Linked DNA regions of Macaca mulatta. Each later gene encodes a partner of the first gene's protein in a complex. Links are inferred from orthologs where the notes say so. Each region holds a gene or a part of one and is shown on either strand. Other genes may lie near its edges.

Region 1 (4,138 bases):
AAAAAAAAAAAGTGCAGATTCTGAATCCCAGTCTCCCTGCTCCCCGATCTGGGGGTCTGGGGCGGAAGCTGGGCATCCTGATTTTTAGTTTCCTGGGCGATTCTGACCACCTGGTGGGTTTGGACTTCAACGTGCTCACTTAGAATTTCTTTCTTTTCTTTCTTTCTTTTTTGAGACGGAATCTCACACTGTCGCCCAGGCTGGAGTGCAGTGGCGCAATCTCGGCTCACTGCAAGCTCTGCCTTCCGGGTGCCCGCCACCACGTCCGGCTAATTTTTTGTATTCTTTAGTAGAGACGGGGTTTCACCGTGTCAGCCAGGATGGTCTCGATCTCCTGACCTCGTGATCCGCCCGTAATCCCAGCACTTTGGGAGGCTGAGGCGGGCGGATCACGAGGTCAGGAGATCGAGACCATCCTGGCTGACACGGTGAAACCCCGTCTCTACTAAAAACACAAAAAATTAGCCGGGCGTGGTGGTGCGCGAGGCTGAGACAGGAGAAAAGAAATTTACAAAGGATAAACTGCTCAGCAAATGAAACAGATTAAACAAAGAATTGTATTCGATGAATTTTTTTTTTTCATCGAATCTTGCTTCGGACCCTTCTTCATCTGAAGAGTCTTGCTCAGTCTCCCAGGCTGGAGTGCAGTGGCCTGATCTTAGCTCACTGCAACCTCTGCCTCCCCGGTTCAAGCGATTCTCCTACCTCAGCCTTCCGAGTAGGTGGGACTACAGGTGTGCGCCACCATGCACAGATAATTTTTGTATTTTTAGTAGAGACGGAGGTTTCACCATGTTGGCCAGGCTGGTCTCGATCTCTTGACCTTGTGATCTGCTTGCCTCAGCCTCCCAAAGTGTTGGGATTACAGGCGTGAGCCACTGCGCCCAGCCTTTCACTTGGTTTTCTACGAAAAAGAGAAAATCTGATTGACACTGTGGAAGATACTACATTAAAAAAAAAAAAAAAAAGTACTATATTTTCTAATATTATCAGTGTTTTTTCCTGAAGCTTTTGCCGCTTTTTCAAAATCTGGAAGAAACAAGGCGGTTGATTCCTCTAATTTCAGGAGCATGTAGCTTCATTTATAATAACAATGTTTTTGAAAAAATAAATTAAACCGACAGTTTCATTTGTAGGACTGACTTTAATAACACGCCTCTACTGAACAAATGGCGATTAACTGGGGAAAACGGAATTACGGTAACCGAGGTAATGGGGTCAGGGACTCCCTTTCCTTCACTGCTTGTTGGGTGGCGCGGCGAGAACGCTCTGAGGAGGTTTGGTCTGTCGGCCACGCCGTAGGCCGCGGTGCATTCTGGGTCCTGGCAATATGGCGTCCTCCTTGATGTGCTGATGAGATGAGTTTCCCTGTAGCTCCAAACCAGAGGGCAAAGCTCCCCTGACCCAGTAAGCCCTCATTGTCCGTTTTCTCCGTGGTTCCGTGTCGCCTGTTTCTCAGGACTCGTTCTCAGGCAGGAGAGAGCCTCGGGGCTGAAGGCCAGGACCAGCCAGGCCGCGCGGACCTGAGGTTGAGGAACCGGGTGCGGGCGAGCACGATGGGCCGGTCCTGGCTCTGGTTGCGGCAGCTCAGACGAGTGCGGGACCCGCAGGGCTGAGAGTGGCTGGAGGAGACCCAGGGCCCTTTGAACCCGATCCCTTGGCCGGAGACCTCGGCCCAGTGGGCGAACCGGCACCAAGAGCGGCCTGCCTGTCCTCGGAACTGCTGAGGCGTTGGAGGCCGAGAGCAGGGTCATCGTGAGGCCTGAAGTCTCTTACGCTTTTGACAGCTCCGCTCGCAGCCCCTCTGGAAACGTGCAGCCCCAGGAGCAGCCAGTGGCTTGGGACTTGGGCTGGTGTGTGTCTGCGGAGCTTCTTGGGCTGCCCCATTTCCTAGCGGCCCCCACCTCCCCACTTCCCGCCCAGAGTTAGAGATAAGGATCTCAGACTTTTTGCCTGAGTAAGGGTCTCCGCACTCTCCATCCATTTGTTTTTCGATTCCCCGTTTTTCTGTTTCTTATTTCACCAATTCTGGTACACGCTAGTTTTTAAGGCTGGAGGTTCTTGAGCGCTTGCTGCCAAGGACTCCCCCACCCCCTCCCCCACTGATGGAGTCCGAAATGCTGCAGTCGCCTCTTCTGGGCCTGGGGGAGGAAGATGAGGCTGATCTTACAGACTGGAACCTACCTTTGGCTTTTATGAAAAAGAGGCACTGTGAGAAAATTGAAGGCTCCAAATCCTTAGCTCAAAGCTGGAGGATGAAGGATCGGGTAAGTGGATTCTGAAGGCACCCCTTGAACTTGGTAGTTTCTCCAACAAAGAAAGTTTACAGCCTGAAAAGTGTCCTTGGGAAAGCGCTGACATTTCCCCCCAGCCACACGTTGTAAGTCAATTAGAAAGCAAAAGCCATTTCAGACTGCAGTTTTTGGCTGAAAATGGGAAAGGCTGTTTTAATTAGTCGTTATTCACTGGGTAGTGTTAATTCAATTCCAACTAAGTTCTGATTCAGATAATAAAAGTTAAGCAAATTTGAAATACAGCATTGCGAGTATTTACATGCTCTTCGGCATACTACTTTGTTCTGTTAACACTTAGAGGAAGGGCAACGTGCGATATAATGCTTATACCCACATAATTAGTCTACTTTGTAAAATTTCCAAGCTGGGTGAAGTGCAGAAGTCTGATATACTATGCTAGGAAACGAGATTACTGGAAAATGTTCAACTAGTAACAAATTAGTGCAAAGTTATTTTAAAGTTACAGTGAACTTCATTCTAGTCTTCTCAACAATTTGTCTTGAAGCTAGACTTTCCTCCTTTTATGTAGGGTCCTGTTGCTGTAACTTGGAGACAGGATTTCTTTAATTGTGAGTTAGGGTATGAGGCATTGACTGCAGGTTTCAGGTTGTCCTCATGGTGTTGGAGTGTGGAGAGTGATTCACAAGCAGCTGGTAGGAAAGAAAACAGCTGAATTTTGTTGAATTTATCCTTCATAAGATACCATCTATTTCCTGGTCTCAAAAGCAAAAGGGTGGTACTGCTTCTCATGTATGCACACTTATAATTTGTCTTTTGGTAAGTTATGTTCTCCCTCCAGGCTGCTTTTATTTATTTGCACGTTTCAGTGGTATAAAAGAGGAAGTTGGTGTTACAAGGTTTGATTTCCTTTAGGCTTATGTATATGTTTATGGAATATTATTGTTTTTTCATATATGATGATGAACATATATAAGATTACACTTCTGGGCTGGGCGCGGTGGCTCACACCTGTAATCCCAGCACTTTGGGAGGCCAAGGCGGGTGGATCACCTGAGGTCAGGAGTTTGAGACTAGCCTGGCCAACATGGTGAAACCCTGTCTCTACTAAAAATACCAATATTAGCCGGGCTTGATGGCAGCTGCCTGTAATCCCAGCTACTCGAGAAGCTGAGGCTGGAGAATCGCTTAAACCTGGGAGGCAGGGGTTGCAGTGACCTGAGATCGTACCATTACACTCTAGCCTAGGAGACAGAATGAGACTCTGTCTCAAAAATAAATAAATAAATAAATAAAGATTACACTTCTGGTAACTCTAGTCTGTCAGTAGTAAGCAGTACTTTAGTTACTGATTTGGCTTACTTCTAAAAGATTAGAAAAATTTGTTTCATCGAAAAGCAGTTTAAGGAGTTAAATAAGTTAGACATTGGGGGAGGTTGTATATTCTATCTTATGGACATCTTTAGTAGTAATTATATAGTTAAAAGCTTTTGTGGTTGCTATACATATGTGAAAATACTTTTTTTAAAAAAAATTCTGTGTAGAGGGCAGTTTTTTTTTTTCTTTTGAAATGTGGTTCCCTCTGCTGTCCTAAACCTATGTTCCAACTGTTCGAAACTGATTAATGGGTATATATTTGATCTTTTAATTAAAACATTAATTTGTGAATGATCAACATTCCATAATAAGCTTTTCACAGATTGTTAAGAGAAACAAGTTCTGTGACTCTTAGTAACTACTGAGATTGTTGCTTAGAAAGCAGCTGGGGAGAAAGTTTGCTGTATCTGTTTTTCAGTGGAGAAAATCAGCAGCTAACATCTTCAGTTGAGTTTGTGGGAGTTTGGAATCTTGTCATCTCTTCCCTCAGGTCAGACCTTGATGGACCG
Region 2 (3,649 bases), on another chromosome or scaffold:
AAGGCTCTCCAGATGGTTGCTGGCCCCTGGGCTCTTCTTTGAGAGTATTGAATCTTAACTCTTGGGTTTCACTCTATGGTAAACAAACCAACAAGAACAAAAAAAGTGTGGCTCATGCCTGAAACCCCAGCACTTCGGGAGGCTGAGGCCGGTGGATCACTTGAGGTCAGGAGTTCAAGACCAGCTTGGCCAACATGGTGAAACCCCATCTCTACCAAAAAATACAAAAATTAGCCGGGCGTGATAGCACATGCCTGTTGTCCCAGCCACCGGGGAGACTGAGGCGGGAGGATTGCTAGAACCCAGGAGGCTGAGATTGCAGTAAGCCAAGATCATGCCACTGCATTCCAGCCTGGGTGACAGAGCAAGACTCCATCTCAAAACAAACAAAACAAAAAGCAAAGTTGGGGAGAAACAAAAAGGGGGGGACTCTTGCCGAGTCTCAAAGATTAAGAAACAACAGAAAAAAAGTGGTCCCATCTGGAGCCAGGATGTCCAGCCATGTGTCCACTGAGTCCCCACCCCGCTGCCTGGACCCTGTGGTCTCTGGGCTTCCCTCCCCTCTGGGGAGGGGAGATTGTACAACCTCAAGCCTTGCAGAGTGGAGCAATGCCACATCTGGCTTCTAGAACCAAAACAAATCTGGGTCACTTTTAAAAAAAGAGAGTTAGAAATTGGTCTTCCCAGGCCGGGCGCGGTGGCTCAAGCCTGTAATCCCAGCACTTTGGGAGGCCGAGACGGGCGGATCACGAGGTCAGGATATCGAGACCATCCTGGCTAACACAGTGAAACACCGTCTCTACTAAAAATACAAAAACTTAGCCGGGCGAGGTGGCAGGCGCCTGTAGTCCCAGCTACTCGGGAGGCTGAGGCAGGAGAATGGCATAAACCCGGGAGGCGGAGCTTGCAGTGAGCTGAGATCCGGCCACTGCACTCCAGCCTGGGTGACAGAGCGAGACTCCGTCTCAAAAAAAAAAAAAAAAAAAAAAAAAAGAAATTGGTCTTCCCTTACCTCCCCTCACTGTTGCCCTGGCCCTGCAAAAAGAGGGCACCACCGCCCTCCATTTGTAATCTATTGGGCTCATAGCCACTCAGACCTAGAAGGTGTATGGGTCTTTATTTTACAGATGAGGAGACGGAGGCCCAAAGCAGGGAGTGCAAGGAGCAGCGCGCATAGGGTCACACAGCTGACTGGGAATGGAGCCCAAATGCACCCTGGTTCTTTCCTTTACACCCCTCCTCCTAAGAAACAGCTCTGTGCTGGAGTCCCACAGGCAATGAGCAGGGCTGTCAGCTTCAGCATCGCTGCCTCTCCTGCAAGGGGACAGGAGAGTAAGACAAGTGACTGCCTGGAGGGGCTGCAGCCAGACTAGAGGAACACGGCCAGCAGGTGAAGTTTCTCTTTAGGTATCTCTCTACATTCCTCTGCCCTTCAGCATCTCAGGTCCGCCTCAGCACAGAGCCCCGTTTCGTGAACTCGCACTTAGTCTCCAAGATGGAAATTCGTGCCTTTCAGGAGTTTACAGAGAGTCCAGTGCTGAGGATCAAGAAATGAATTTCAATATGTACAACTATTATGGATCCATAAAAATTAAAAATGAAAAAAGTAAAATAAAGCGTAAGAAATGAATCTCAGCTGTTGGAATGCCACTCATCATAGCCCCTAAGTGAGGGAGAGATTTCAAGGTTATTGCTAAGGAAGGGCATTCCTGAAGTCCTTAAATCATGATTCCCAAACTTGGGTTATTCATATTTTATCTGCACAATTATTACTATACCTTGCATTCCACTTGTACAGATGTTTAACATTTCTTTATATCACCTTAGCTTTTGAATTTAGCTTACATTATTTTATTATAGAATCTACAATATAGTATTATATTATTTGTACATTAAAAGGAATTGCTATCACTACTATATGTGGAACACCAGATTCACTTGCCATAAATAGAAGGTAGCTATAAAAAGATACAAAGGGGCTGGGCACGGTGGCTCACGCCTGTAATCCTAGCACTTTGGGAGGCCAAGGTGGGCAGATCATGAGGTCAAGAATTTGAGACCAACCTGGCCAACATGGTGAAACCCCGTCTCTACTAAAGATACAAAAAATTAGCTGGGCGTGGTGGCACACGCCTATAATCCCAGCTACTTGGGCGGGTGGGGTAGGAGAATTCCAAAGTCAGTGACACACTGGCAGGACACACTGGGGACCTCACAAAGGAGAGAGGCTCAGCAAGAGAGCCTTTGGGGGCAAGGAGAGCCCACCCTTCACTCCTGCCTCTGGCTCTTCTCTGCAAAGCCCAGGCATTTCTCTTTTTTTTTTTTTTTTTTGACATAGGGTCTCACTGCAGCCTGGACCTCCTGGGCTCAAGCAATCCTCCCGCCTCAGCTTCCCGAGTAGCTGGGACTACAGGCACGTACCATCATGCCCAGCTCATTTTAACTTTTTTGTAGAGATGAGGTCTGTCTAAGTTGTCCAGGCTGGTCTCAAGCTCCTGGGCTCAAGCGGTCCTCCCACCTTGGCCTCCCAAAGTGCTGGGATTACAGATATGAGCTACCACACCCGGCAAAAGTTACTATTTTTACTACTCTGGTTGAATCACTTAATTTTCTGTTTGGTCATTTGTAAAATGCGGCTATTCTGGTTATCCCACAGGAGTGCTGTAAGGACAGGACTGAATAATGAATAGAAATGCATTTTTTCCACCATGGTATGTGATTGTCATGGGTAGTTAACACTGAGCCCTGGTAGGTGAGTGAGCTGAGGGGCTTTAGGGACAGAGCACAGTGTGCACAGAGCCCTGGGAAGACACAGGTGCAGTCGGTGGCCTGCAGACCCCTTCCATTAGATCATTCCATGTGAAGGGGAGTCAGGGCCATTTGGAGGTAACGGAGTTCTGAGTGGCAGCCAGACCCCCAAATAAGCCTCATTGATCTGGCTTTTTTTTTTTTTTTTTATGAAAAGGAGTCTCGTTCTGTTACCCAGGCTGCTGTACAGTGGTGCAATCAGCTCACTGCAACCTCTGCCTCCCAGGTTCAAGTGATTCTCCTGCCCCAGCCTCCTGAGTAGCTGGCGTTACAGGCTTCCGCCACCACGTTGGCCAATTTTTGTATTTTTAGTAGAGACGGGGTTTCACCATGTAGACCAGGCTGTTCTCAAACTCCTGACCTCAGGTGATCCGCCCACGTTGGTCTCCCAAAGTGCCGGGATTACAGGCATGAGCCACCGCACCCGGCCTCCTCTGGGTTTTTCAGGAGAATCTGCTGCCTCTACTGCAGCCACACCTTTAAAAATTGGAAAAACCAGCAGGCAAGAGGTTGCAGGTGGCTTGACCAACCTCCCTGTGCCCTTCTAGGTACCAGGATCATTTATGACCGGAAATTCCTGATGGAGTGTCGGAACTCACCTGTGACCAAAACACCCCCGAAGGATCTGCCTGCCATTCCCGGGGTCACCAGCCCTTCCAGTGATGAGCCCCCCACGGAAGCCAGCCAGAGCCACCTGCGTAATAGCCCAGAAGATAAGCGGGCAGGCGGTGAGTGTTGGGGCTTGGCCAGGCTCTACCTTGGGAAAGGGAATGTATTAGCAATACCCTGGAGTCCATCCACTGGGGTGAATTCCAGGGAGGAGAAATGACAGGGACTCTGC

What was found. The genes of interacting proteins can lie anywhere in the genome.
Region 2: the proteins of RPTOR (region 1) and EIF4EBP1 are in contact, whole or in part, in a cryo-EM structure (PDB 6BCX), measured with the Homo sapiens proteins. The link is inferred for Macaca mulatta from reciprocal best matches to the Homo sapiens genes RPTOR and EIF4EBP1. Residues at the interface, in NP_065812.1 of Homo sapiens: Arg54, Arg305, Thr317, Asp321, Phe337, Arg338, Leu341, Ala344, Arg348, Leu437, Gln438, Leu440, Leu441, Ser442, Gln443, Arg446, Tyr475, Lys478, Leu479, Gln481; in NP_004086.1 of Homo sapiens: Glu111, Ser112, Gln113, Phe114, Glu115, Met116, Asp117, Ile118.

The regions. Positions count from the first base shown.
Region 1 is NC_133421.1:90,243,453-90,247,590, forward strand, and holds the start of RPTOR (regulatory-associated protein of mTOR), read left to right. Parts: upstream 1-1,327; 5' UTR 1,328-2,105; coding exon 2,106-2,267; intron 2,268-4,138. UniProt on the Homo sapiens protein: Component of the mechanistic target of rapamycin complex 1 (mTORC1), an evolutionarily conserved central nutrient sensor that stimulates anabolic reactions and macromolecule biosynthesis to promote cellular biomass generation and growth.
Region 2 is NC_133413.1:39,997,211-40,000,859, forward strand, and holds part of EIF4EBP1 (eukaryotic translation initiation factor 4E-binding protein 1), read left to right. Parts: intron 1-3,356; coding exon 3,357-3,536; intron 3,537-3,649. UniProt on the Homo sapiens protein: Repressor of translation initiation that regulates EIF4E activity by preventing its assembly into the eIF4F complex: hypophosphorylated form competes with EIF4G1/EIF4G3 and strongly binds to EIF4E, leading to repress translation.